Linked DNA regions of Callithrix jacchus. The protein of the gene in region 5 purifies or fractionates together with the protein of the main gene of each other region. This does not show direct contact. Links are inferred from orthologs where the notes say so. Each region holds a gene or a part of one and is shown on either strand. Other genes may lie near its edges. The genes, in order: ZNF644, CHAF1A, CCDC71L, POGZ, CBX3, MGA and CHAMP1.

Region 1 (3,500 bases), on a different chromosome or scaffold from region 5:
ATGATGCAAAATGAAGAAAAATATGAAAAAATCTTAAAGGCATTGAACAGTCGTCGTATTATTCCCAGACCATTTGTAGCTCAAAAACTTGCGTCAAGTGATGACTTTATATCTCAAAATGTTATACCTCTTGAAGCATACCGAAATGGCCTAAAGACTGAAGCTCTGTCAGTGTCTGCATCAGAAGAAGAAGGGCTGAATTTCTTAAATGAATATGATGAAACAAAACCAGAACTGCCCAGTGGAAAAAAGAATCAGTCTCTTACACTCATAGAACTTCTTAAAAATAAAAGGATGGGAGAAGAAAGGAATTCTTCTATTTCTCCTCAAAAGATCCATAATCAGACAGCAAGAAAGAGATTCGTTCAGAAATGCGTTCTTCCATTAAATGAAGATAGTCCGTTGATGTATCAGCCACAAAAAATGGACTTGACTATGCACTCAGGTAAGAGGACGTTTATGACTATCCTATACACAGTTTAAATGCATTCAATTATGCTTTCTTTAATGGAATATATGTGGAAAATACTTTCTCACAATCTTCTTGCTTAAGCTGCTTTTTTTTTTACAGAGCACAGATTGGTTATTCTGTCATTTCTGTATAACTCATCAGTTGAGGTTCCTTAGCACTGAGTTCTCTGTGCCTCTTTTCTTGGTCTGAATGTAAGGTGAGAACAAAAGCAAAAGAAAACCACACACATACACATACAAAAACAACAAACAAAAAGCTGATCTGTAAAAATAAAATTTGCTGTGGCTGGAGGATGATTGCGAATGGGAGGTTGGTGTTCGAAAGCACAGTGTTATTGAAAAGGCATACCTCTGTCGTATTTTTGCCAGTGCTCCAAGGTGATCATGTTTTCAAGATTTAGCTGTTGGTTTTTCCACTGCTTAGTTGAAACAAAACAGACTCTTAAAGCTGAGTGGATTGGTATCTGTTGTGATTAACCTAAAGAAGCATCTCCTTTCTCCAATTCCTTATTGTATTGTGGGATAGTTTGGTTTTGGAGAACAGTTGTGAACATAAAACATATTTGTTTGGGGTTTTAGGTTTTAAAATAGTGCTCTAATGGAACAGAACAGATGATTTGGCTTAGTACTTGTATACCAATAGTTTTTCCTTTGGGAAGGAATATTTTGTGTGTATTGGCAAATAATGTGGCAGATAAAGTAGCCAAACTTTATTCATTATTGCCAAGTCTGGTTTATACTTTTAGATTAGAAAAATTTTAAGTGTCTTTTCTAGATTCCTTTTTGAAGATTAAGAATGTTAAAGGTTTATGTAATTGGTCTCATTAGAGATGTAAGTTGAATGTGTCTGAGGTAATAGTAAATGGATTAATAATGAATAAAATGACTGTAATGTTGTTTATTTGCTTTGGGGTAGACATTGTCATATCCCAAATAGTTGTAATGCAATTTTGATTTAAGGAAAGATTACTTTGTATTGTAAGTGGTCTGGAAAACAATTTATCTTACATGAGGTTCTGTTTAATACAGCTTTTTCTTTTGAATAAAGAGTCTCTGAAAGTCATTAGCTTTCAGTATTCTTTCAGAAGGATAAAACGCAGGGATGATGTGTTAGCTGTGTTGACCAAGGCGTAGTATACTTCAGAGATGGAAAGCATATTTGTGGCTGTCACAGTAATGCTGAAGAAATCAATTGAAACGTGTTGGGGGAGTGAGGATTGTTTGAGAAGTGAGGAGTTTTTTATTGTTGAACATGTTTTCTTTCCTGTGATGACTAAGATGTTAGCTTGTTGATCATTTATTTAGCACAAAGATTTTAGCAAAAAACTTCAGATCATTAACTTTCATTATTGATTGCGCATTCAGAGTAATGAACATAAAATACCCTGGATAAAATGTTGTGTCTAACAGCTGTTCAGTGGTGTGTTTTACCACCTTTTCTCCCAGCCTTCATCAGAAAACCTAATTTAGTATTGAGACTTTTACGGTTTTGTGGGTAAAACACTTTAATTACCACTTTGTCAACTAGACTTTTAAATTCTTTTTATTGGTAATGTTGTAAGCTTTGAAACTTCTCAACAGAACCATGGTGTTCAAATCACAGGATTGCATTTTCGTAGGTTTAAGAAATAATCTGCGTAACACAGAAATCTGCAAGAAAGTGATAATAGGTGTTATATCCAGAGGAGCTCAAAGGTTTAAGTCACTCCTCTTCTACCTTTCCAAAGAGCATGAGATAGCTGTAAATACTAACTACAAACTAATAACAGTTAATTTCCCCGCCTTATTTTACGTTAATCTATTTCATTGAACGTTTTTAAAACCATCTTTATTGTGGTGCTTTTCTACACTCTTTAAGCTAAGAAAATTTCACTTCTTGAAGTGAGAACTGGATTATAGTTTTCTTTTGAATGATAGGTATGCCTGTGAAGCTTAGAACATGTGTGCATTGCAATACGACGTTTACAAGTGCTGTTAGCCTGTCCAACCACTTACGCGCTTATGCACGAAAGAAGAGTGCTGGACTTTTGACTGGTACAGGTATGTTTGAACAGATATCACAGCAAGTCTGTTTGATACAATACACTTTTTTTTCCCCACCAAACTGGTGTTAATTCAGATCATATTTATAACTTTCTTTGGTAAGCTGCAGTTGTCTGAATACATTTCTGAATAAATTTCAGCAACTTGTAAACTGTTAGATATAATTCTAAGCACGTTAATCTTTTTCCTTTGGCTCTTGTTGACTTAATTTGGGGAAAAAAAATTAACCCAAGAGATGTGAAATTTTGAGTCTACCTTAATCCCATTTCTTTTTTAGAATTATACTATTTTTGATTTTTAAATTTATTTTAGATTACAGAAAAACACCTCTCTTTATAGTTCTAGTCAGGCACAGTGGTGTGCCTTTATAGTCCCAACTACTCATGAGGCTCGCAGGAGGATCACTTCAGCTCAAGAGTTAGAGGCTGTAATGTGCTGTGATTGTGCCTGTGAATAGCCACTGTACCCTAGCCTGGGCAACATAGCATAAAAAGATTGTAGTTCTAGCTTGGGGAAATCCTTTATTAGAAAAGGAAATTATAGGGAAATTCCAAAATGTAGACTTGATAAGAAACCTAAGCAAACTAATGAATTTTCATTAGTCTGTAGATTAGATCTTTGAAGGGGCAAGCCTTAATAATGGCTTGTATTGACAGGTGAATAGATTTTTAATACCTCTTAAATATATTAAAGATTAATAAATTTAGCTATGCACATAAGTGTTAACATGCAAATTTCTGTGTTATTTTTGGTTGGTTAGCCCAACCTTGCAGATACCTCTTAATGCTGCTCATCTGTGAAAATTTTATTAGCTTACTTATATGTAATATGCTTCTTATAACCTGCAAAATGCTTTGCACTTCATTTGTAGTCTTTTAAGCTATACTGCTTTAGCAAATCTCATTTCCCTCACATCTTAAAATATACCCTCTTTTTGACATAGATCTACATAAATTCTTTTGCCTAAAATTCTCTTTCCAATCTTT
Region 2 (3,500 bases), on a different chromosome or scaffold from region 5:
TATATATTCTAGTCGCAGGAAGAGTTTCATTGTCTATTTGTCGTTTTTATTGTGAAGGCCTACGTTATAGCTTTATAGTAACGTGGAAGTAACATATTCGTTGCTGCAAAGTTAAATACTTGCCATTTACTAACAGCTGCGTACCGTGGTCCCTTCCAGAACGTAGCAAAGAGTCAGCTGAAATGTCATTTGCTGTCTCACAGGGCCAAACTTGAGGAGAAAAGGAAAAAGGAAGAAGAGAAACGGTTAAGAGAGGAGGAGAAGGTAGCGTGTTTCCTTCAGAACTTCCCCATCCCAGCCCGTTGAAGCAGATGCACAAGGTGGAATTCTAGCCACAGCTGTCGTCTTAACGTTCTCTTGGTTTGAGGAAACCAAATGGCGCCCCCAGGAGGGACGAATCTCTAGATGCATCCTTTCGCTTCTTCTCAGTGCTGGTCTGTCACACGCCTACTGGCCCCATACCCTGGCACTTCCACCCACAAGGGCAACTCGGACATTTTGAGACTGGCTGGCATGGTTGCGGGTCTGTGGGTTTTGAGAGCTAAAAAAATCACAGCAGAGCCTTTGAGATAACATGCTTGAGTTTTGGTGCTGGGGGACATTTGCATGTTTTGAAGCGTGCACCGTGTCTTTTCCGCTCTTCTTTCTCATCATTTTCTCTTACATCACAGCGTATTAAAGCAGAGAAGGCTGAAATCACCAGGTTCTTCCAGAAACCAAAGACTCCACAGGCCCCCAAGGTGAGCAGCCGGCTGCCTTTGCTTTCCAGTTTCGGCTGTTTTCTCTCTGAAATTGAAAGGATCTGGCACCAGCCAGCTTCTCTGATCATGAGGCACGGAGCCTCTGGTAAGCCAGGAAAGTTCGTTTTGGTAAACTCTTGAGGCTCAATATTTTGTCTTCGCTTTGACCCAAAAAAGGTAAAAAGTGGCGTGTCTGATTAAAAAGTGCTGTTTTCAGAGGCTGCTTCTGAGTAATTTTGTGTTAGGCGTTAAGAGAAGTTAACCATGTTTTTACCCTTGGGAAACTTAGGCTTGAGGGGCAAACATAGCCGCAAAACAGTAGAATTCACAAAGATTTACTTTCCCCACCTGGCGTTGGTCACCTGACAGCTCAGACCTTCTGAGCCACCATCTGTGCGTGGAAACCACAGCCCTCCGTCCCTTTTACCCAGAGGGAGCCTGTCTCCGATGTTAGCGGGCCTTCAGTGCCTTTCCCTGCTCCACTCACTGTCTGTTCATACATGTGTGTACTTAGCTGTCTCGGGTATGTGTCATATTGCCATATTTAGGTGGATTTCATTCTTTTTAATGTATCTATCTGCCGTTTATTTATTTATTTTTGAGACCGGGTCACACACTGTCACTTAGGCTGGAGTGCAGCGTCACAGTCAGAGCTCACTACAGTCTTGACCTCTCAGGCTCAGGTGATCCTCCCACCTCAGCCTTCGGAGTAGCTGGGACTACAGGCATATGCCACCACACCTGGCTAATTTTTTTTTTTTTTTTGAGACAGAGTCTCACTCTCGCCTAGGCTGGAGTGCAGTGGCGCAGTCTTGGCTCCCTGGGGTCAGGTGAATCTCCTGCCTTAGCCTCCTGAGTAGCTGGAATTACAGGTGCTCACCACCACGCACAGCTAATTTTTGTATTTGTAGAAGAGACAGCGTTTTCCCATGTTGGCCAGTGTGGTCTCAAACTCCTGACCTCAAGTGATCTGCCCACCTCAGCCTCCCAAAGTGCTGGGATTATGGGCATGAGCCACTGCGCCCGGCCTAATTTCTAAATTTTTTTGTACAGACGGGATTTTGCTGTGTTGCCCAGGCTAGTCTTGACCTTCTGGCCTCAAAAGCTTCTCCTAGCCTTGGCCTCTCAAAGTGCTTGGATTGCAGGCGTGAGCCCCTGCTCCTGGCCTATCCTTTTATTTGTATCTCAAAATACTTCACAATTGCATATCTTGAAGGTGCACAACATGACATTGTTGTGCCTACACGTTCCGTAGTGACAAACACAGACCCACGTCATTTCTTTCTCTTTTATTAAAAAAACATATGGACTGCTCCACGAATTTTTGTGTCATCCTTGTGCAGGGGCCGTGCTCATCTTCTCTGTATCGTTCCGATTTTAGTCTATGTGCTGCTGAAGCGAGCACTGTTTTTGTTTGTTCGTTTGTTTTGAGATGGAGTTTTGCTCTTGTTGCCCAGGCTGGAGTGCAGTGGCGTGATCTCAGCTCATCACAACCTCCACCTCCCAGTTTCAAGTGGTTCTCTTGCCTCAGCCTCCCGAGTAGCTGGGATTACAGGCATGTGCCACCACGCCCGGCTGATTTTGTATTTTTAGTTCAGACAGGGTTTCTCCATTTTGATGAGGCTGGTCTCGAACTCCCAACTGCAGATGATTTGCCTGCCTCGGCCTCCCAAAGTGTTGGGATTACAAGCGTGAGCCACTGCGCCTGACCATGTCATTTATTTTCACTGTTGGATAATACTTAATAATGCAATGATATCATGGTTTCTCTCTCTCTCTTTTTTATTTTTATTTTTGAGATGGAGTTTCGCTCTTGTTACCCAGGCTGGAGTGCAATGGCGCGATCTCGGCTCACCGCAACCTCCGCCTCCTGGGTTCAGGCAATTCTCCTGCCTCAACCTCCTGAGTAGCTGGGATTACAGGCACCTGCCACCATGCCCAGCTAATTTTTGTATTTTTAGTAGAGATGGGGTTTCACCATGTTGACCAGGATGGTCTTGATCTCTTGACCTCGTGATCCACCTGCCTTGGCCTCCCAAAGTGCTGGGATTACAGGCTTGAGCCACCGCGCCCGGCCTAAAATTTTATTTATTCATTTGTTTATTTTTTTTTTAAGACGGAATCTTGCTCTGTCACCCAGGTTGGAGTGCTGTGGCTCGATCTTAGCTCACTGCAATCTCCACCTCCCGGGTTTAAGCAGTTCTCCTGCCTTGGCCTTCTTAGTAGCTGGGATTACAGGCACCTGCCACCGTGTCTCACTAATTTTTTATATTTTCAGTAGACACGGTTTTCACCAATTTGGCCAGGTTGATCTCGAACTCCTGACGTGAGATAATGTGCTCACCTCAGCCTCCCTAATTTTATTTGTAGTAGAGATGGGGTCTAACTGTGTTGCCAGGGCTGGTCTTGAACTCCTGGCCTCAGCAGTTCTCTCACCTTAGCCACCCACTGTGCTGGGCTCACAGGCATGAGCCACAGAGCCTGCCGCTATCTCAGCTTCTCTGCCCCTCAGTGGCACAGTAGGGGTTCCTGAGTATGCTTCTCTGCACACATGCGTCCTCTGGGACAGCCAACCTCTAGGACAAAACAGCACATTGCTGAAACGTTGTTAGCCATGGCCAGAGTGCCCGCCAGACAGGAAAACTCAGGTGTACGTGCCTGGCAGTGCCTGACAATGTCTCTTCCTGATTCTGTGATATTAATGGATGGAATGAATTTTAACTTTGCCAGTCTGATGGATTAAAAAAAATTGATATTCTT
Region 3 (4,122 bases), about 45 Mb from region 5:
ATATAAAATTGTCCTGTTCTAAGCCATTTCTGACTCCATTTGGGATAAGCAGTGGTTTTCATTGATTCATGCAACAAACATATTGAGTACCCACTACCTGACAGGAATTGAGTTAGGTATAGAGGACAGAAAGATGACTAAAGAATGTCCACAAAAAAAAAAAAAAAAAAAAAAAAGAATGTCCACAACTCTCCTCTCAATACAAAAGGTAATGTGTTCTTAACAATGTTTTTCAACAAAAACTTATCACTGATCCATGCAGCAAACACATTGAGTACCCACTACCTGACAGGAATTGAGTTAGGTATAGAGGACAGAAAGATGACTAAAGAATGTCCACAACTCTCCTCTCAATACAAAAGGTAATGTGTTCTTAACAATGTTTTTCAACAAAAACTTATCTATTGTTTGCAATGATGCATCCTTTCTAAATGATAGGGATGGCTCTGATATTTTAAAACTAAATGAAGAATGAACTGGCACTCTTAAAGAGCTGTGTATTTAAAACTATGTATATTACACAGAATGGCTTTATTGCAATTGATCTTTGATCAATTTGAGCAGAGTGTTTAGTTTTATAGGGTATGAGATGCTTTGCTTTCTGGATAAGCAGAGTCTGTCTTAAATATGAAGATGGCTCCACTGTCCAGAGGGAGACTCCAGTCTCTCAGCTGCCACCCACGCACATTAGCTGAATGATTCTGGATTACTACTGGCTTCTTGAGAAGGACTGGGGTCAAGACAGAAGAGTTTTGAATGAAGATGCCAGAAGAGGCCTTTGAGAGGGTGAATGGGAATCGTGAAAGGCCCATTTCCCCTAGACTTAAACCCAAATTCCCTATCCGTGATACCAGCAACATCCTTTAGGCAAATCTCCCTTTGTTATTCACACTGGTAGAGCTCCCAGCTCAATCCACAACTGCACACCACCTCACTCTGAGAGTCTCTCTTCCCAAGGTGGAGCCAACATTCACCCTCTTACTCTAGACATGGCAACGCTCCTAGAACCACCCAACCATTGACTTACGTTCAAAGGCCATCACCATCACCCACCCCAGCACCATCTTCCAGGAACTGGCCTTTCCCTCATCAGTCCCCGCCCCTCTTCTGAGAGCACCCAATGGGTGGAGTCGGGGCTGTGGTGGGAGGGGCCTGAGGCGGGCACATTTAAAGAAAGGCAGCCGGTGAAAAGAGGCAAGAGAGGAGAAGAAAGAGAAACTAGGGGGGGTGAGGCGCCGTCCAATGACAAAGCCCAGGGGTGGGCGCTGGCCGCCATCTTGTACCGGGCGGCAGGATATTCGCCCGCGTCCTCCGCCCTCAGAGGGGGAGGGGCGGCGGCAGAGGCGAGAAAAGTAGCTACAGACGCCAGCAGCGGCCACCGCCGCGGAGCCGACGCGGAGTGGGACGGCAGCGGCGGCAGCGGGACCCGGCGAGTACGAGCGGCCTTGGATGCGTCGCAGCATGAAGAGGCGGCGGCGCCGTGCCCCGGTCGCCCCAGCTGCGGCCGCCCGGGGCGGTGGCTTTAGGGCAGAAGACGGGGCCGGGCTGGAGGCGCAGGAGGAGAAGGTGGTGTACTCGCGGTCGCAACTGTCGCTGGCTGACAGCACCAAGGCGCTGGGCGACGCCTTCAAGATCTTCATGCCCCGCAGCACGGAGTTCATGAGCTCGGACGCGGAGCTCTGGAGCTTCCTCTGCAGCCTCAAGCACCAGTTCTCTCCGCACATCCTGCGCAGCAAGGACGTCTACGGCTACTCCTCCTGCCGGGCCCTGGTGCCCGACCCCCCGTTACCCCCCACCGCCCGCAGCCAGGCGCGCCGGCCGGCACCGCGCGCCATGGCCAAGAGGAGGCGCCGCGGAGCCCGGGCGACTGCCGCCCGCAGGAGAAAGCCCCAGCCACCTCCCGCGCCGCTGCTGGCCCCGGAGGAGAGCTGCCGGGACAAGCCTGTGGCCCCCGGGCCCTGCTTCGGGGGCCGCACCCTGGAGGAGATCTGGAGGGCTGCTACCCCGACGCTGACCACCTTTCCCACCATCCGCGTCGGCAGCGACGTGTGGGGTGAGCGCAGCCTGGCGGCGGCGCGGCGCAGAGCACGCCAGATCCTGCAAGTGAATCTGGAACCCATGGTGAGGCTCCGCCGCTTCCCGGTGCCCCGAGCGTGAGGCGCGGCCCCCGTAGCGCCTCCTGCCGGCTCCGATCGGCGGAATTGACAGAGCTTCCTCCCGGAGGAATGGACAAGTGTCAGTCGAGTGTTTACAGATCCGGCCAGGACCCCGGCCCCCAGTGCACTTTATGCACGAAGAAGTCACCGGATGGTTGTCCCTGCCCTGCGCCCCCGGGCCGTGGCGCCGTCGTCTTGGACTCCGGGGCAAGTGTGGCCTCTGCTGCCCCCATCACCCGGCCTGCAGACGGAGGGGACAGCCGGACCCATAGGGGAGGTCCCTTCCTGACCCCAGATTGAGACGTCTCCAGGACCTTAGGGGCAGATCCGTTTTCTCCCTGTTGGACTCTACCTCACTGGTCTGGAAGTCCTCCGAAGAAGACATTATTTTTCCAAAGGAATTTGGTTTTGTGCTTGTGTAATAAAGCCAGAATTTACTTGCTCTTTATTCCCCCCTTTTTTTCACTGCCACCCCTCTTTCTGGACAGAAGTTCGAACATGTGGTGTTGCACTAGTTTGTGCTCAGGGTATTCTGAAGCCCACTCGTTTCCTAATTTTTACTGGATTCCAAAGCTTTGATGGAGGATATTTTTTAAGAGGTTCAAGCTTGTGAATGTTAGTAGTGCAAGGATTTGGATGGGCTCAGTGATTACAAACAAAGACATGCAAAATATAACTTTAAACATTTTCAAGGTGTTTCTAAAGGTTTTATATATTGAAACTTAATGTTTATATTTACTGAGCTCCTAAAAATGGTAGAATACACGTGAAAACTTTTGTTTAGGAAAAATTAACTTGTTAAATTCTCTTGAATTGAATAAAAAAAATGCATTGAAACCATATGGCGTGTGATTAAAAAAATGAGTGAATTGTGAAGAACTGGCTTTGGTTGCAGGAGTGACTGGAATCTGACTGGAGATCATTTGGCCCCTCTCCTGGTCTAACATACAAATCCAGGAATATTATGCATTAAAGTATGTATTTTGAAATACATTACGAGGAAAATGTATTTTAAAATGGGACTTGCATAGGAGAGATGCCTGTGTGTAAACATTATGACTAAAATGATATACAGAATACCCATTTGAGTTCTGAGAACTATTAATGAAGAGGGGTGGAGGCATTTCTTGGTATCAAATAACTGGTTGAGGTTACTTTGGGCAAAATCTATTTCCTTTTTTTTGTTGTTGTTGGATAACAAGAAATGTCTAGACTAATATTCACTTTTACAAACATCATGAATATTAGTTGACTTTAAGTTGACTTTTTGGTCACATCATTTTTTTAACCTTCTTGCCACTCATGTCTCCAGTTCTAGGTCTTTGACAGCTGAAGACCACAGGAATTAAACAGGCGAGCCACACAGGCTACTGACCCTGCTTTACGCTTTTATAGTGTTTATACCATATAGCCCAGTGTGGAATTCTTGATTATCCAAGTGCCTTTGGTCATTTGTGGCAGGAAGACTTAATAGTTTTTAACCAGTGGTGCCACAGCCAACTTTTACTGCAATACCTAAAGGGTCAAGTAGTGTTTTTGTACCACTATTATTTGAAATTTAAATATTCTGCCATAAAACGATCCATACTGGGCTGGAACTTGACATGTGAAATCCTTAATACTAAAGTTTATCTCTGCTTGGCAGCTTCTTAGGACAATAATGAGAGTTGCAATTTTAACTCTTGTGTTCCTAGAATTCAAATGGCATAGCTTTCTGAAATGAATATTTCAAGTTTAGTAGTCCATATAGGAGTGTTGTGACTTTAATTTCAGTATTCTTGTTTTGTTAAAAGAATATATACACACACACACACACACATATATATAACTTTATGCCAGTTTTCTAGTAAGCCTCGGTCTTTTATTCACTACTCAATGATAATGCATTGTTACAAACACTGTCACATGAGTAAACAAAAATGAATAATTCTTTAGAAGATAGAGAATGTTAAATCATATTTGTGAT
Region 4 (4,256 bases), on a different chromosome or scaffold from region 5:
TTAATAATAGTAGGCCAGGCACGGTAGCTCATACTTGTAATCCCAGCACTTTGGGAGGCCGAGGTGGGTAGATCACCTGAAGCCAAGAGTTAGAGACCAGCCTGACCAATATGGTGAAACGCCGTCTTTTTTTTTTTTTTTAATTGAGATGGAGTTTCGCTCTTGTTACCCAGGCTGGAGTGCGATGGCGCGATCTCGGCTCACCGCAACCTCCGCCTCCTGGGTTCAGGCAATTCTCCTGCCTCAGCCTCCTGAGTAGCTGGGATTACAGGCACGCGCCACTATGCCCAGCTAATTTTTTGTATTTTTAGTAGAGACGGGGTTTCACCATGTTGACCAGGATGGTCTCGATCTCTTGACCTCGTGATCCACTTGCCTCGGCCTCCCAAAGTGCTGGGATTACAGGCGTGAGCCACCGCGCCCGGCCTAAACGCCGTCTTAAAAAAACAAAAAAACAAAAAAACAAAAAATACCACCCGGTAGGCAGAGGTTGCAGTGAGTGGAGATTGAATAAAATAAAATAATAATAATCTTTACTGCTTCAAGGGCATTCTCAACTATGTAGTTTGGTGCCACTGACTTGCTTTGTGCTAAGGTACTACCAAGAGTTTTATCCAGCATTGCTTTTGAACCATCAGTGTGTCTGAAAAAAAATCATCTTACTATCATTTTAAAAATAGTTATGACCTTGAGGCTCCCCTGAAAGCGTACGAGGAGATCACCACGGGTCGTCTGTCCACATTTTGAGAACTGCTTTCCTAGATTATACCACTAGTTCAAGATGGGAGTGGAAACTCTAACAAAATCACATTCGTCCCGAGTCTATTCTGTTACCTCCTTTAGTTTGACATACTCCACCAACGTAGCTCTGGAAAAGGGAAGGAAATCAAGGGCACAGGTGTCTTTTAATTGTTTCAACATTTTGAACACTTTTATGTTAGACCAGTAATTCTCAAAGTAGCGGTTAATCAGCCTCCACTGTACGACTACTCATTTTAAAATGTAGAGATGACATTCCCCACTCTGCCCCATTCAAATAAACTTGGGGGATGAGGCCCCTCCAATCTGTACATTTAACAATGTTCAAGGTACTTTTTATGCACCCCGAACTTGAGAACGAGTGTGCTAACAGTTCAAATTCAGAGTTCAAGCTCTCAGACCCTGAGCAACGAGGTCTCGAAATTCATCCTGCCCCCGCTGTTTCCCTTTCATCTAGTAGGGTAAACTACTATAGAAGTAAAATCCCAGCCAGGCGCAGTGGGTCACGCTTGTAATCCCAGAACTTTGGGAGGCCAAGGCGGGTGGATCACCTGAGGTCAGGAGTTCGAGACCAGCCCGGCCTACGTGGTGAAACCCTGTCTCTACTAAAAATACAAAAACTAGCCGGGCGTGGTGGCACATGCCTGTAATTCCAGCTACTTGGGAGGCTCAGGCAGGAGAATCACTTGAACCCGGGAGGCGGAGAGTGCAGTGGGCAGAGATCGAGCAACTGCACTCCAGCCTGGGCGACAAGAGTGAAACTCCGTTTAAAAAAAAAAAAAAGCAAAACCCCATTTGTGTGGAGTTTTGAGCTGTGGTGAGATGTGTCTACGAGCATGGAGGGACCGGCTACCCCCTGCACCAAAACAGCAGCTACTCTGAGATGGTAAAACTGTATCTTAATTTCCATTTGGAAAATGAGACTGGCCACCAAATGACTCTGAGGACTCTTCAGCACTCACTACCTTTCTCTGAACTAAGAATGTCTAACACAAGTAAGCCGAGAAACGTTCAGTACTACTGGTAGTTTGAGGGAATCCCACAACTGCAGAGGAAGGAAATCAGAACAACACGCAGAAAGAGGTAAAGCAAGTGGATCAATGACAGTACTCCTCTGCAAAAGGTGCCAAGAATCTAGAGAAAATAGTCCCCGGGATAAACATGGCGCCCACCGCGGCAGGACATAATCACCAGAAAATAAAGATTCCCCGCCCCATCTCATTTTATAAATCACGGCGCCATCCCGAAAGAAATTTGGGGGCCCAGGGAGGAGACTTCGTAAACTAGCTACAGTGCACTAAAGCTTAGGATGTACTATTAGACCAAGCAGAGATTACATAACACAAGGGATGGGCTCAGCAATCACTCATTTTCCTCCTCCCGCTCAAAATGAGCGTCCCACTCCCTCTCGGAGCGGGGGCAGGGCGGGAAGGGGCGCGCACCCCCATCCCCAGGGGCCGCTCCGCCGCCGCCCGCCCCCTCCGCCGCGCGGCCTCGCCCCCTCGCCCGCCCCTCCCGCCGCGCTCCGCCGTCTCGCCGCCGCCCGCGCCCCCGCCCCTTCCCCAGCGGGCCGCGGGCCGCCAGCCGCGCCCGCGCCGCCCACTCCTCCGAGACGCCTCGCGCCTGGCGTGCGTGTGGACGTCGGGCTGTGTGCGGGGCCGTGGGGCGCGAGTGCGCGCGCGCGCGCCACGGCGGGCGCCGGGGGGCGGGGGCGGCTGGCCAGCCGGCAGGCAGGGGCCTCCGCCGCCGGCCCTTCGCGCGGCTCTCGCGGCCCGGGGCGCACGCACACACACTCGCGCTCGCGCGTCGCACCCCACGGCCGCCCCTGCCGCGGACCGCGCCGCCGCTGGCGGTGGGCGGGGGCGCGCGCCGCCGGCCCCCCGCCCCCACCCCCGCGCGTACCGGCCCATCCCCCTCTCATTGTCTGGCCTCCGAACGCTTCGCCGAGCGAAAAGATAACGGAACCCCCGGGAGCAGGGGGTGGGGAGAGAGAAGGCTCGCTTGCTCACTCACCTCCCGTGGTCGTCGCCGCCGGTAGTCTGACCCGAGGAAGGCGCCGTCGCCTTAAAGGGACCTTGCACCCGGCGCCGGGAGAAGGGGGTGGGAGCAGGGGAGGGGACGGGGGCTTGGGGGGAGACGAAGAGGGAACCGTTGAAAGCTCGTCTCCCCAAGGGTGAAAGGAAGCCTCCCTCGGGTTCGAGTGATTTGGGGTGGATTTTTTTCCCGAGGGGGGCGGGGGGGCCCCGAGGGAGGGGGGTGGGGGGGCCAAGGAATGCGGCTCCGTGTACGGGAGCTGGCGCGGGGGAGAGAGACGCCGACTCCCCCCACCGACCCTCTCGCCCCGCGGAGTGATACGGCTCGTCACTTCCGCCCTCCCCCTTTCACGGCCTCCCAATTGGTCGGAGCGCGCAATACGTCATGGGCTCATCCAAACCCCTGCCCGGGCTTCTTTTCTAGTCAAGTTTGGCTGGGCCTGCAAATAAATAAATAAAAACATTTTTTATAATGAAAAAAGAACAATTAACTTCAGAAGCTCTATCTAAATTTTGGCGAGAAAAATGAGGCTCCCAAAGAAAATAATCTCCAATATACTTGCCTAGACTTCCCAAGGAAGTGTTGGGAGGCTCCCCATTGCCACTCAAGGCTTAGACCCAGTCAAGAGGGGACTTCATGACACAGGCCAGGTGGTGAGGCCCAGTGGCACCAACAACTGTCATTGGAACAAAGAATGAAATGGCACTCACTCTTCCTCAAGAGACACGGCCAAGTAGCCTTGTGGCTGTGGCCTTGTTTAAGTGAAGAACTTTTAAAAGCCATTTTGACTCTCAAGGCCATCTGGATCTTGGAAAGAAGTGGCACACAATTGTTAACCAAGGCAATTATTGTGAGGGAAACTGCTTTGCTCCCATTGTAGTGGATTCAGCAGAGATCCCCAGTTCTAAGAAACCACGCACAATCCACATCCATAAGCTTTTTGCTCCAGTCAAGGCTGAGATGGGTTGGCTCAAAGAAATTGGCGAGTCCACTCGTGGTCATCCAACTGTTTATTCTTCCCCAGAATAAACTAACCGCTTCTCATATAGCTAAGAAATGTTGTCCTTCGTTGCCTTCTGAGATGATAAAAATTTAATATTTTCCTTGAATATTTGAAAATGTTTGCTCTTTAAGCAGTACACAAATATGTGCTCCAAATGTAAAATCAAGGCACTTGGTGCAGAAAGGGGAGATACAGAACTATATTTGTTCGTTCTCTTTATATACATACTCCAAACCACGGACTGTGAAAATAGGCAGTGGAAGTAGGCATTCCAAATTGTATGCATCTGCGTGTGTGTGTGTGTGTGTGTGCACGTGCACGTTTGCGCGCGCGCGCACACACACACACTCACATTGCCATCACCCAGCTTCATTCCATTTCATACCAAAACCATGTGAGTGATTTCCACTAGTGCGGGATGCTTAAGAAGGACTTCATTATTTGAGAAGAATCACTAATC
Region 5 (3,500 bases):
CTGCTTCAGTCTCCTGAGTAGCTGTGATTACAGGCGCCCATCCCCAGCCCAGCTAATTTTTGTGGTTTTTTTTTTTAGTTGAGACAAGGTTTCACCATGTTGAGCATGCTGGTCTCAATCCCCTAACCTCATGATCCAGTTACCCCAGCGTCCCTAAAATTACTAACTTCATCACACCTAGTTCTGTAAAGGTTTTTTTGAACCAGAGCACGAAGTTGGCAAGCCGGTTGTTGGTGTAGGGTGATCTTACTTTCACGTCTATTAATTGATACTCATTTTCTTTTTTACAGCAGTTCTAAAAAATCCATAGAAATAGTCATCTCAGCCTTACATTGTATCAGGGGTCAGCAACCTTTCCCCCTAAAGTGTCATGTAGTAATTATTTTCTGCTTTTCGGGCCACAGGTCTCTTGTCTCTACATCTCTGCTCATCTAAACGGATGAGTGTGGATGTGTTCCAATGGTACTTCATTTGTGGGCACTAAAATTCAAATTACGTATAATTTAGTTTGAAATATTTTTCCAACCATTTAAAAACGTAAAAATATTTTTAGTTTGCAAACCATACAAAAGACTGGATTTAGCTTTTGGTTTACCAGCCCACTCTATACCATTTCCCAATTTGAACACCCAGCAAAAATTGAAAATGTCTAATGCTTCAGAATCATTATGTCTTAAAACATGGCATTGGAGGTCCCAACCCTAGACATGATATGACATACTAATTTGGGGTGGGAATTGGGAATTTACATTTGTTCAGCCGTTTGAATTATTCTGTTACAGTAAAGTTTACTTCACTTGGAAGTAAAATAGCAGATTTCTCTCAAAAGACTTGTCGGGCCTGGGTGCAGTGGCTAACACCTGTAATTCTGGCACTTTGGGAGTCCAGGGCTGGAGGATTACATGAGACCAGGAATTTAAGACCAGCTGCGAGAGACCCCTTCTCTTTTTTTTTTTTTTAAGTGTTTTAAGTTAGCTGGGTATGGTGGTGCATGCCTGTAGTCCCAGCTACTGGGCGAGTGGGGAGTGGGAGCTGAGGCAGGGGATTGCTTGACCCAGGAGTTGGGAATCTTCAGTGAGCTGATCGCATCACCGCACTCAAGTCTGGGCAACAAAGCAAGACCCTGTCTCCGGGGTCGGGAGAAATAAAATGTAGGGAAGGAGGAAATGATTAGTATCTGCAGTACAGAGGACTTTTTATTTCCCCAGGTGTCTATTAAAATGGATCTGGGTAATGGGGATGAATCATGTTTAATTGAATTTTTTTTTTAACAGTGCTGACAATACTTGGGAACCTGAAGAAAATTTAGATTGTCCAGAGTTGATTGAAGCATTTCTTAATTCTCAAAAAGCTGGCAAAGAAAAAGATGGTACAAAAAGAAAATCTTTATCTGACAGTGAATCTGATGACAGCAAATCAAAGAAGAAAAGAGATGCTGTAAGTATACAGTATTGCCTAGCAGCCTGTCCGTTTGTAAAAGGTTGATGGCTTGATTGATTGATTTTGAGACAGTCTCACTCTGTTGCCCAGGCTGGAGTGCAGTGGCGCAGTCTTGGCTCACTACAACCTCCCCGTCCAGTGCAAACTCCTGACCTCAGGTGATCCATCAGCCTCGCAAAGTGCTGGGATTATAGGCGTGAGCCACTGTGCCCGCCTGATGGTTTGGTTTTTTAAAAACTCAGGCTGGGCACAGTGGCTCAAGCCTGTAATCCCAACACTTTGGGAGGCCAAGGCGGGTGGATCACCAGCCTGACCAACATGGTGAAACTTCATCTCTACTAAAAGTACAAAAATTAGCCAGGTGTGGTGGCACATGCCTGTAATCCCAGCTACTCAGGAGGCTGAGGCAGGAGAATCGCTTGAACCCAGCAGGTGTAGGTTGCAGGGAGCTGAGATTGTGCCACTGCACTCCAGCCTGGGCGACAGAGTGAGACTCTGTCTCAAAAAAAAAAATCTCAACTACTTTTCTAAAAGGCCTCTTAATTCTACTTTAAATATTTTAATACTTAGGGCAATAAGAATAGGTGTGGTTTAGTCTACATTATGTAAATGTGCAGTAAGTGCTTATACCACTTGGGCAGTTTTTCTTAGTTTCATGGAGTTGATCACTGATCCAACCAATCACCCGTGATCCAAGGCTAGCAATCTTTAGTACAAACAATACTAAGATTGGATTATTGAAAGCCATTGTATTACAGTAAGAACAATGTAAAGAGAACTTTCTGATTATAGTTCATTAATGGCATTGACCATCAAAAAGTACTTGTGTGTCATCTTAGTATTGCCAAACAATGCACTGATTTTGAAGTATATAATCTTCGATAATAAAAACTGTTACACATATTCTTGGCATGAAATGAGCTATTTAGTTCCTTCAGTATACATATGCTTTGGTCCAATCTTTGCTTCACTTATATCTCTGTGGCTTCAGAAAGTCAAGTAACCTCTTACTTCTACCCTTGACTGTAAAACTAGATTATACTTGTCTTGCCTACTGACCTAGTATGGCAATTTGGGGAGATATCTTTGTGCTGAATTAGATTCTAGGCTCTGGCACTAAACAGACAATACATATTAATTGGTAAGGACTTGGGATTTGAAACTTGATCATTTGAAGTAGAAGCCAAGAAGTCTTACCTTCATGACAACTCATTGTGTATAAGGTCATAGGTATAGTCACTATTTTATGGATGAAGAAATGAGATTGACTATATATTTGGTTCTGAAAGTAAATCATGTGCTCAACAGAAGCACAGTTTTGGCCAGGCACAGTGGCTCGCACCTGTAATCCCAGCACCTTGGGAAACCAAGGCAGGAACATTGCTTGAGCCCAGGAGTTGGAGGACAGTTTGGATAACATAGTAAGACCCCGTCTCTACAAAGAAAAAAATATATCAGTCAGACGTGGTGGATGCCTAGTAGTCTTAGCTACTTGGAAGGCTGTGGCAGAAGTATTGCTTGAGCCTAGGAGATCAAGGTGCAGTGAGCTGTGATCATACCAGTGCACTTTGGCCTGGGCAACAAAGCAAGACCTTGTTACAAAAAATTATTAGATAATCGAGCACAACTTTAACAATACTTTTTGAACTGTTACCATTTGCCATACTGTGTTCCAAATCATTTGCATTTCATGTGCTGTGAAATACCTATGCAGTAGATACTAAAATTCTATTTTATTAACCTTACCACAAAGAGGTTAATTAACTTGCCCAAAGCCACACAGCTCATGAGCAGGGTAGGTCTGTCATTCTCACCCAGGCAGTGTGACGCCAGAGCCTGTCACATTGATATAAAACTCTGATGGGGCGGGGCGTGGTGGTAGCTCACACCTGAAATCCCAGCACTTTGGGAGGCCAAGACATACAGATCATCTGAGGTTGGGAATTCGACACCAGCCTGACAAACATGGAGAAACCCTGTCTCTGTTAAAAATAAAAAATTAGCCGGGTATGGTGGCACATACCTGTAATCCCAGCTACTTGGGAGGCTGAGGCAGGAGA
Region 6 (3,500 bases), on a different chromosome or scaffold from region 5:
CAACAGGCTGTCCTCCTGAGCTATAGGTTATTTTGGTTTCAGAGCCTGTTTTACTTGCAAAGCTTTGTGGTTCAGGAGCAGAAATCCTCAGGGTCAATGTACCAGCCTGAGACACAAAACTAGCTCCAGAGGAAAGCAATGATGGTGCCTGAGTGATAACATTTACTGCTGAAGATCCAACAGCTTGGATTACAGGATTCATGACAGAGAAAGCAGAGGATGAAGTGGAAGACGGTGGAGTCTCAGAGGGTTTGGAAGGAGCAGGTAACCGGATTCCCATCACAGACCCTAGTTTAAAAAATAAGAGAGAAATTTTTAAATCATGACTGCCTATATCAAGACTTCCAATGCTTGCTTTTCTTTTTGGAAAAGCAACTCTAAGAAAGGAAGAAAAACTATCCTGGTGTATTAACATACCATATGGCCAACTGATGCAACAAAAGAAAAGTTAGTAAGAAAGAAGTTTATACCTGGGTTCCGAAACATGACAGGCTGTAAGTTGGGCTGAGTATTAGAGCCTCGAAGCTGATGCAAAGGTAGAAGCTGGACAATTTGCCCATTAGGGTGCCTGAATAGGTTCATTCCACTTGGACTCCTAACAGGCTGTAAGACCATCCGATGTCCCTGAAGTTGTGTGTTTGAGACAGGTCTAAGAGAAGGAGAACCCTGCTGCACTGGAATCAACAATAATCGAGGTCCAGCACGCTTCACTGTGTTAGAAGAGACCTGTGGAGTAGCCACTGGAATTTGAGCAGCATTTTCTGAAAAACAGGAAATGGAAACATAGTACGAAAACTCCCCTTTAACACATGTACGAAAAAAAAGTATTTATAATTTTTAAATTTTTTTGAGACACAGTCTTGCTCTGTTGCTCAGGCTAGAGTGCAATGGCACAATCTCGACTGACTGCAGCCTCCACGCCTCCCTGGTTCAAGTGATTCTCCCACCTAAGCATCCTGAGTAGCTGCGACTACAGGTGCACACTACCACACCTGGCTTATTTCTGTATTTTGGGGCAGAGACAGGGTTTCACCATGCTGGCCAGGCTGGTCTCAAACCCCTGACCACCAGTGATCTGCCCTCCTTGGCCTCCCAAGGTGCTGGGGATTACAGGCATGAGCCACTGCACACAGCTTTTTTTTTTTTTTTTTTTTTTTTTTGAGACAGAATCTCACTCTGTCGCCCAGGCTGGAGTGCAGTGAGGCGATTTTGGCTCACTGCAACCTCCACCTTCTGGGTTTCCAGTGATTCTCCTGCCTCAGTCTCCCATGTAGCTGGGATTACAGGTGCCCATCACCATGCCCAGCTAATTTTTATATTTTTAGTAGAGATGGGGTTTCACCATCTTGGCCAGGCTGGTCTTTAACTCCTGACCTTGTGATCCACCTGCCTCTGCCCTTCAAAGTGCTGGGATTACAGGCATGAGCCACCACACCTGGCCTATTTTTTTTTTTTTTTTAAGAGACAGGGTCTCACTTGTCACCCCAGCTTCAGTGCAAGGGCTCAATCATAGTTTGTTGCAGTCTCTAACTCCCGCCTCAACCTTCCAAGTAGCTGGGACTACCAGAACCTGTCACTACACCTGGCTAATTATGTTATTCTTTGTAGAGTCAGAGTCTTGCTTTATTGCTCAAGCTAGTCTCGAACTCCTGGCCTTCCAAAATGCTGGGACTGCAGTCATGAGTTCACCATGCCCAGTCAAATAAACAAACAAAAAAACTATTAAGGCACAGAATCTGACCTTGCTGCAAAATAACTTCTAATCTGAAATATAAAGTTGCTGAAATTCTGTACTTTCATTAATACATTATTTATGGCTGAGAACAACCAGACATTATGGAGCTTTACACTTAGAATGGTAAAAAATAGAGTATCAATTGTCAAGAGGCACATTTAAAGAGATAATACTTCTGCCTAAATAAAAACATGGGTATCCCTCTAAATTTGGATTTCTGTTAAAGAGATCCTTTATGATAAAATTATTCTTCAATTTTATTTTATTTATTTATTTATTTATTTTTGAGACAGAGTCTTGCTCTGTCCCCAGGCGCCAGGCTGGAGTGCAGTGGCGCAATCTCGACTCACTGCAACCTCTGCCTCCTGGGTTCAAGCAATTCTCCTGCCTCAGCCTCCTGAGTAGCTGGGATTACAGACACACACCACCATACCCAGCTAATTTTTGTATTTTTAGTAGAGACGGGGTTTCACCATGTTGGCCAGGATGGTCTTGATCTGTTGATCTCGTGATCCACCCACCTTGGCCTCCTGAAGTGCTGGGATTACAGGCGTGAGCTACCGCGCCCGGCCTATTTTTAAAATTTTTTTAGAAAGGATCTCACTCTGCCGCCCCAGCTGGAGTGCAGTGGTACCAGAGCTCACTGCTGCCTCAAACTCCCAGGCTCAGCCAAAGGAGCTGGGACCACAGATGCAAATTTTTGTTTGTTTTGTTTTGTTTTAGAGAGAAGGAGTGTGCTGTATTGCCCAGGCTGGTCTTCAACTCCTGGGGCTCAAGCGATCCTCCTGCCTCAGCCTCCTAAAGTGTTGGGATCATAGGTATGAGCCACCATGCCTGGCCTCTTTATTTTTTTAAATAAAATCCATATCCTGCACAATTTAACTTTAAGGCTCATAACACTTACTAGAAATATGACTGAATTTCTAAGCTTATACTACCTGAGGAAGACAAAGAACAAAAAATTCTTGGTTTATAAAGGGCTTCTTGGTTTTTAAAATTCACTAATAAGCAAAGCTTAAAGGTTTGTGGGAATTACTTTTCAGAAGAGAAAAATGACATAAAGCCCTCAAAATGTAATAAAATTAACACACATCATAGAAGCAGGGAAATAAACCTGGCTTAGAAAGGCAAAAAGGCCAGGTGGCTCATGCCTGTAATCCCAGCACTTTGGGAGGCCAAGGCGGGTGGATCACCTGAGGTCAGGAGTTCGAGACCAGCCTGGCCAATATGATGAAACCCCATCTCTACTAAAAATATAAAAATTCGCTGGGAGTGGTGGCAGGGTTCTGTAATCCAAGCTATTCGGGAGGCTAAGGCAGGAGAATTGCTTGAACTCAGGAGGCGGAAGTTTCAGTGAGCTGAAATCACATCACTGCACTCCAGCCTGGACAACAAGGGCAAGACTTCATCTTAAAAAAAAAAAAAAAGAGGCAAAAGATGCTTTTAAAATAGCTTTATAGCAGAAATTTAATGCAGAAGATGTGAATTAATAGAGATTTCAAACCATTAACAGTACTTACAGATGCCCTTTACTGATTAGAAGAGATATTTAAAAGAAATACTAAAGACATAGGAAAAAACAGTACAAGTAATCTAGATTTCTTTTTTTAGATCAGAGAGATAATAGTAAGCATAAATAAAACTGGTCTAACATTACTATTCAAATTGGTGAGCTTATTTAACATTAATACATAAAACTTCAAAAGCTTGCTACTCAAGAGAAAAAAATCAAACAAATGAAACAAAGATTTTAGCTTAACAGGCA
Region 7 (3,928 bases), on a different chromosome or scaffold from region 5:
GAGTTAACATGTGATGCATAGTTTGTTTTTCAAGATGAAAGACTTACAGAGATGGATGGTGGTGTTATGAATACACTTACTACCACTGAACTGTACACATAGAGATAGTTAAGACAGTAAATGCTATGGTTTTTGTTTTTATTTATTTATTTGAGACAGACTCTCGTTCCGCCGCCCAGGCTGGAGTGCAGTGGCGTGATCTCGCTGCAACCTCCGCCTCCCAGGTTCTAAGGGATTCTCCTGCCTCAGCCTTCCGAGTAGCTGGGATTACAGGTATGTGCCACCACGCCTGGCTAATTGTGTATTATTAGTAGAGACGGGGTTCACCACGTTGGCCACACTGGCCTCGAACTCCTGACCTCAGGTGATCCACCCGCCTTGGCCTCCCAGAGTGCTGGGATTACAAGCCTGAGCCACAGTGCCAGACCATTCTGTAGTTTATTTTAACCACAATAATAATAAAAAGTAAAACTTCAGAAGGGTTCAAATGTAGAGAGCATCGAGCTAATTTCACCGTGTTTCAAAGCATACAGACTGATGGCGTCAGCATTAGAGGTGCATGCATTTTAATTAGAATTGCGGTGGTAATATTCATAAGACTGAAGATAACTTCTGGGGATCGGACTTTCACTGGAGGAGAGGTGATGAGAAGAAATATTGGCATCCAAGAACTATGTTGATTTGTTTGTATTTTTGTCATAGGCATTATGCCAGAAGTATCCCTGACAATGTATGGGGCAGGTCCAGCTCTTTTTTTCCTAATAAATTCATTTCTACAACAATCAAAAAGGCAAGAAGAGGAAGCGATATCGGCAGGGCGGCGGCAGCCCCGGACCATTCCAAGGTCCCGGCGGGAGGCCAGAAGCCAGACGCAGCTGAACCCTCGCGGAGCCGACCCGGGCGCGCGCGGGAAGCGGAGGCGGAGTGGGCACGTGCGGCACTTCCGGGGCGTGGCGGGGCGGGCGCGCGGCACTTCCGAAGGCCCGCGCGAGTCGCTAGTTTTGCCCACGCACTTGTGGCACTGCCGCGCCACGCGATCGGCAATCTGATTGGTCCGCGCCGGAGGGCGCGCGGCGCCAAACTTGCTTCCCGTCAGCCCCCGCCCGTGCCGCGGGCACGCGCACGCTCGCGCACCCGGATCCTGGCTCCTTCGTCCAGTCGCCATTCGGGAGGCCGCTGCGCTGCGGGGCCTGGCTGAGCCGCCCGCGACCGCGAGCCGGGCCCTCCGGGTCGTCCTTCGCCCACTGGACGCCGCCAGCGGCCCGACCGGTGAGGAGCGGAGCGAGCGGGGAGGGCGTGGCTGGGGCCTGCATCTCCGAGCCCTGTGTCGGCCGCCGACTTGGCAGGGCCGCTCCGGGAGGAAGCCGCTTGTCCGAGTGAAGGGGGCCTGCGCCGCCTCGCCCCCTACGCGGCCGCGGGAAGGGCCCGCCCCCGGAGTCCGGGCGGGAGTGCGTCTTTGTGCCGGGAGCGGTGAGGCCCGGTGTCACTCGCGGCCGAGGCAGGAAACACTGCATGTGAAATCATTGGGAAGTTGGGGGCAGCACGGCACGCAAGCCATTCTTTCCGCTTTAGTCCTAGGCTGCCTCCTCCTCTGTCATTATTACTGTTTAAAAATCCGCTATACAGCCTCCAAAACGGCAGAGGAGAATGGTGAAGGGTTAATGTCTGGAATACAAGAAGAGATGCAGCTGACCAACAAAAAGCAACCAGCTTAAGAATGGGCAAGGAATTTGGATAGATATTTCTCCAGAGAAGATAGACAGATGGCCAGTAAGCACGTGCAAAGATGCTCAGCACCACTAGCCATTAAGAAAATGCAGATGAAAGCCGCAGTGAGATACTACCTCATACCTGTTAGGATGGCTACTAACAAAAAATGGGAAATTATGAGTGTTGGGGATGTGGAGAAATTGAAGCTCGGGTGCACTGCTGGTGGGAATGTAGCGTGGTACAACAGCTATGGGAATTGGTGTGGTTCCTCAGTTCTACAAGATTTGTACCCAAAAAAATTGACAGCAGGGACTCAGTTACTTGTTCACAAATGTTCATGGCAGCATTATTCACAATCCAGATGTCTATCAACAGGTGAATGAAAGACAAGCTGTGGTATATTACATGTAATGGACTATTGTTCATCCTGAGGAATGACATTCTGATAGATGCTACAATATAAACGAGCCTCGAACACATTATATTGAATGAAATAAGACACAAAAAGACTAATACTGCATGATTCCCCCTCTGACACAGAAAGATTAGACATTACCAGCACTGAAAATGCAGAGTGGGAGTTAGTGTTTTATGAGTACAGAGTTTCTGTTTGTGGTTAAGTGATTCTGGACGTAGATAGTGGTGATGTTTGCACTACATTTTAGAACTAAACTAAATTGTGATTTTAAAAATGATTCAATGGCAAGTGATTTTTTTTTTTTTTTGGACGGAGTTTTGCTCTTGTTGCCCAGGCTGGAGGGCAGTGGCGCGACCTCAGCTCACTGCACCCTCCACTTCAGCCTCCCGAGTAGCTGGTATTACATGCGCCCGCCACCACGCCGAGCTAATTGTTTGTAATTTTAGTAGAGACTTGGTTTCACCATGTTGGTCAGGCTGGTCTTGAACTCCTGACCTCAGGTAATCCACCCTCCTTGGCCTCCCAAAGTGGCAAAATTACAAACATGAGCCACCGTGCCCAGCCTAAATGGCAAGTTTTATGTTCTATTTACCATCCTTTAAAAAATACACATGAGAAATCAAAACTACTGAGTTAGTAAAAAGATGAGTGGTTGCCAGGAGCACAGGAAGATGCTAAGCAATGAAATAATTTTGTGTGACTACCCTAGCAGTGGATACATGATGCTATGTATTTGTCAAAACCCATAGAACTGCACATCACAGAAAGTGACTCCTTGGTCGTAGTGGTTCACATCTGTAATCCCAGCACTTTTGGAGGCCAAGGTGGACAGATCATGAGGTCAGGAGATCAAGACCATCCTGACAAACATGGTGAAACCCATCTCTACTAAAAATACAAAAATTAGCTGGGCATGGTGGCAAGTGCCTGTAGTCCTACCTCCTTGGGAGGCTGAGGCAGGAAATCGCTTGAACCCAGGAGGCGGAGGTTGCAGTGAGCAGAGATAGCGCCACTGCACACCAGCCTGGTGGACAGAGCAAGACTCCGTCAAAAAAAAAAAACAAAAAGTGACTCCTTGTGTAAACTATAGACTTAATAAATCAATGTTAGTTCATCATTGTAGCAAATGTCTCACACTAACAAAAGATGTTAATACTAGTTGAGTGTCCTTTATTCGAAACCAGAAGTGCTTTGGATCTCCCCTCTCCCCTCTCCCTTCTCCCCACTTTCAGATTTTGGAATAGTTGGCTTGTACTGTTTGAGTGCCAAAATGCTCCTTTTGGCACTTCTAAAGTTTTGGATTTTGGAGCATGTCTGGTTTCAGATTTTCAGATTAGGGATGCTCTCTGTAGTAGGAGAAACTGGGGGCTAGGGAGTTGGTGGAAGGAGGTATATGGGAATTCTTGTATGTTTTTGTTTAAACATAAAACTGCTTGAAAAATTCATTTCTTCCTTTTTTTTTTTTTTAATTCTTATGGAGATGGAGTCTTACTCTGTTGCCCAGCTGGAGTGCAATGGTGCAGTCTTGGCTCACTGCAACCTCCGTCTCCTGGGTTCAAGCAATTCTCCTGCTTTAGCCAATCCCAAGTAGCTGGGATTATAAGTGTGCACCATTATGCTCAGCTAATTTATATTTTTAGTAGAGACAGGGTTTCACCATGTTGGCCAGTCTGGTCACAAGCTCCTGTCCTCAAATGATCCACCCATCTCAGCCTCCCAAAGTGTTGGGATTACAGGCATGAGCCACCGCGCCTGGCCAGTTGATCCAGTTTTTAAAGGCTGGGCATGGTGGCTCCTGTA

What was found.
Region 1: the proteins of CBX3 (region 5) and ZNF644 purify together in Homo sapiens (affinity purification with mass spectrometry; 3 studies listed by BioGRID and IntAct, with this or other methods). This does not show direct contact. The link is inferred for Callithrix jacchus from reciprocal best matches to the Homo sapiens genes CBX3 and ZNF644.
Region 2: the proteins of CBX3 (region 5) and CHAF1A purify together in Homo sapiens (affinity purification with mass spectrometry; 5 studies listed by BioGRID and IntAct, with this or other methods). This does not show direct contact. The link is inferred for Callithrix jacchus from reciprocal best matches to the Homo sapiens genes CBX3 and CHAF1A.
Region 3: the proteins of CBX3 (region 5) and CCDC71L purify together in Homo sapiens (affinity purification with mass spectrometry; 3 studies listed by BioGRID and IntAct, with this or other methods). This does not show direct contact. The link is inferred for Callithrix jacchus from reciprocal best matches to the Homo sapiens genes CBX3 and CCDC71L.
Region 4: the proteins of CBX3 (region 5) and POGZ purify together in Homo sapiens (affinity purification with mass spectrometry; 7 studies listed by BioGRID and IntAct, with this or other methods). This does not show direct contact. The link is inferred for Callithrix jacchus from reciprocal best matches to the Homo sapiens genes CBX3 and POGZ.
Region 6: the proteins of CBX3 (region 5) and MGA purify together in Homo sapiens (affinity purification with mass spectrometry; 4 studies listed by BioGRID and IntAct, with this or other methods). This does not show direct contact. The link is inferred for Callithrix jacchus from reciprocal best matches to the Homo sapiens genes CBX3 and MGA.
Region 7: the proteins of CBX3 (region 5) and CHAMP1 purify together in Homo sapiens (affinity purification with mass spectrometry; 6 studies listed by BioGRID and IntAct, with this or other methods). This does not show direct contact. The link is inferred for Callithrix jacchus from reciprocal best matches to the Homo sapiens genes CBX3 and CHAMP1.

What each region holds. Positions count from the first base shown.
Region 1 is NC_133508.1:128,468,519-128,472,018, reverse strand, and holds part of ZNF644 (zinc finger protein 644), read left to right. Parts: coding exon 1-445; intron 446-571; exon of another isoform or gene 572-668; intron 669-2,388; coding exon 2,389-2,511; intron 2,512-3,500.
Region 2 is NC_133523.1:4,174,629-4,178,128, forward strand, and holds part of CHAF1A (chromatin assembly factor 1 subunit A), read left to right. Parts: intron 1-203; coding exon 204-264; intron 265-671; coding exon 672-740; intron 741-2,038; exon of another isoform or gene 2,039-2,145; intron 2,146-3,500. UniProt on the Homo sapiens protein: Acts as a component of the histone chaperone complex chromatin assembly factor 1 (CAF-1), which assembles histone octamers onto DNA during replication and repair.
Region 3 is NC_133512.1:77,109,766-77,113,887, reverse strand, and holds the start of CCDC71L (coiled-coil domain-containing protein 71L), read left to right. Parts: upstream 1-1,322; 5' UTR 1,323-1,449; coding exon 1,450-2,157; 3' UTR 2,158-4,122.
Region 4 is NC_133519.1:11,361,835-11,366,090, forward strand, and holds the start of POGZ (pogo transposable element with ZNF domain), read right to left. Parts: upstream 2,801-4,256; 5' UTR 2,670-2,800; coding exon 2,662-2,669; intron 1,019-2,661; exon of another isoform or gene 835-1,018; intron 1-834. UniProt on the Homo sapiens protein: Plays a role in mitotic cell cycle progression and is involved in kinetochore assembly and mitotic sister chromatid cohesion.
Region 5 is NC_133512.1:31,891,691-31,895,190, reverse strand, and holds part of CBX3 (chromobox protein homolog 3), read left to right. Parts: intron 1-1,274; coding exon 1,275-1,437; intron 1,438-3,500.
Region 6 is NC_133509.1:44,854,819-44,858,318, forward strand, and holds part of MGA (MAX gene-associated protein), read right to left. Parts: intron 762-3,500; coding exon 471-761; intron 289-470; coding exon 1-288. UniProt on the Homo sapiens protein: Functions as a dual-specificity transcription factor, regulating the expression of both MAX-network and T-box family target genes. Functions as a repressor or an activator.
Region 7 is NC_133502.1:29,685,923-29,689,850, forward strand, and holds the start of CHAMP1 (chromosome alignment-maintaining phosphoprotein 1), read left to right. Parts: upstream 1-1,128; 5' UTR 1,129-1,269; intron 1,270-3,928. UniProt on the Homo sapiens protein: Required for proper alignment of chromosomes at metaphase and their accurate segregation during mitosis. Involved in the maintenance of spindle microtubules attachment to the kinetochore during sister chromatid biorientation.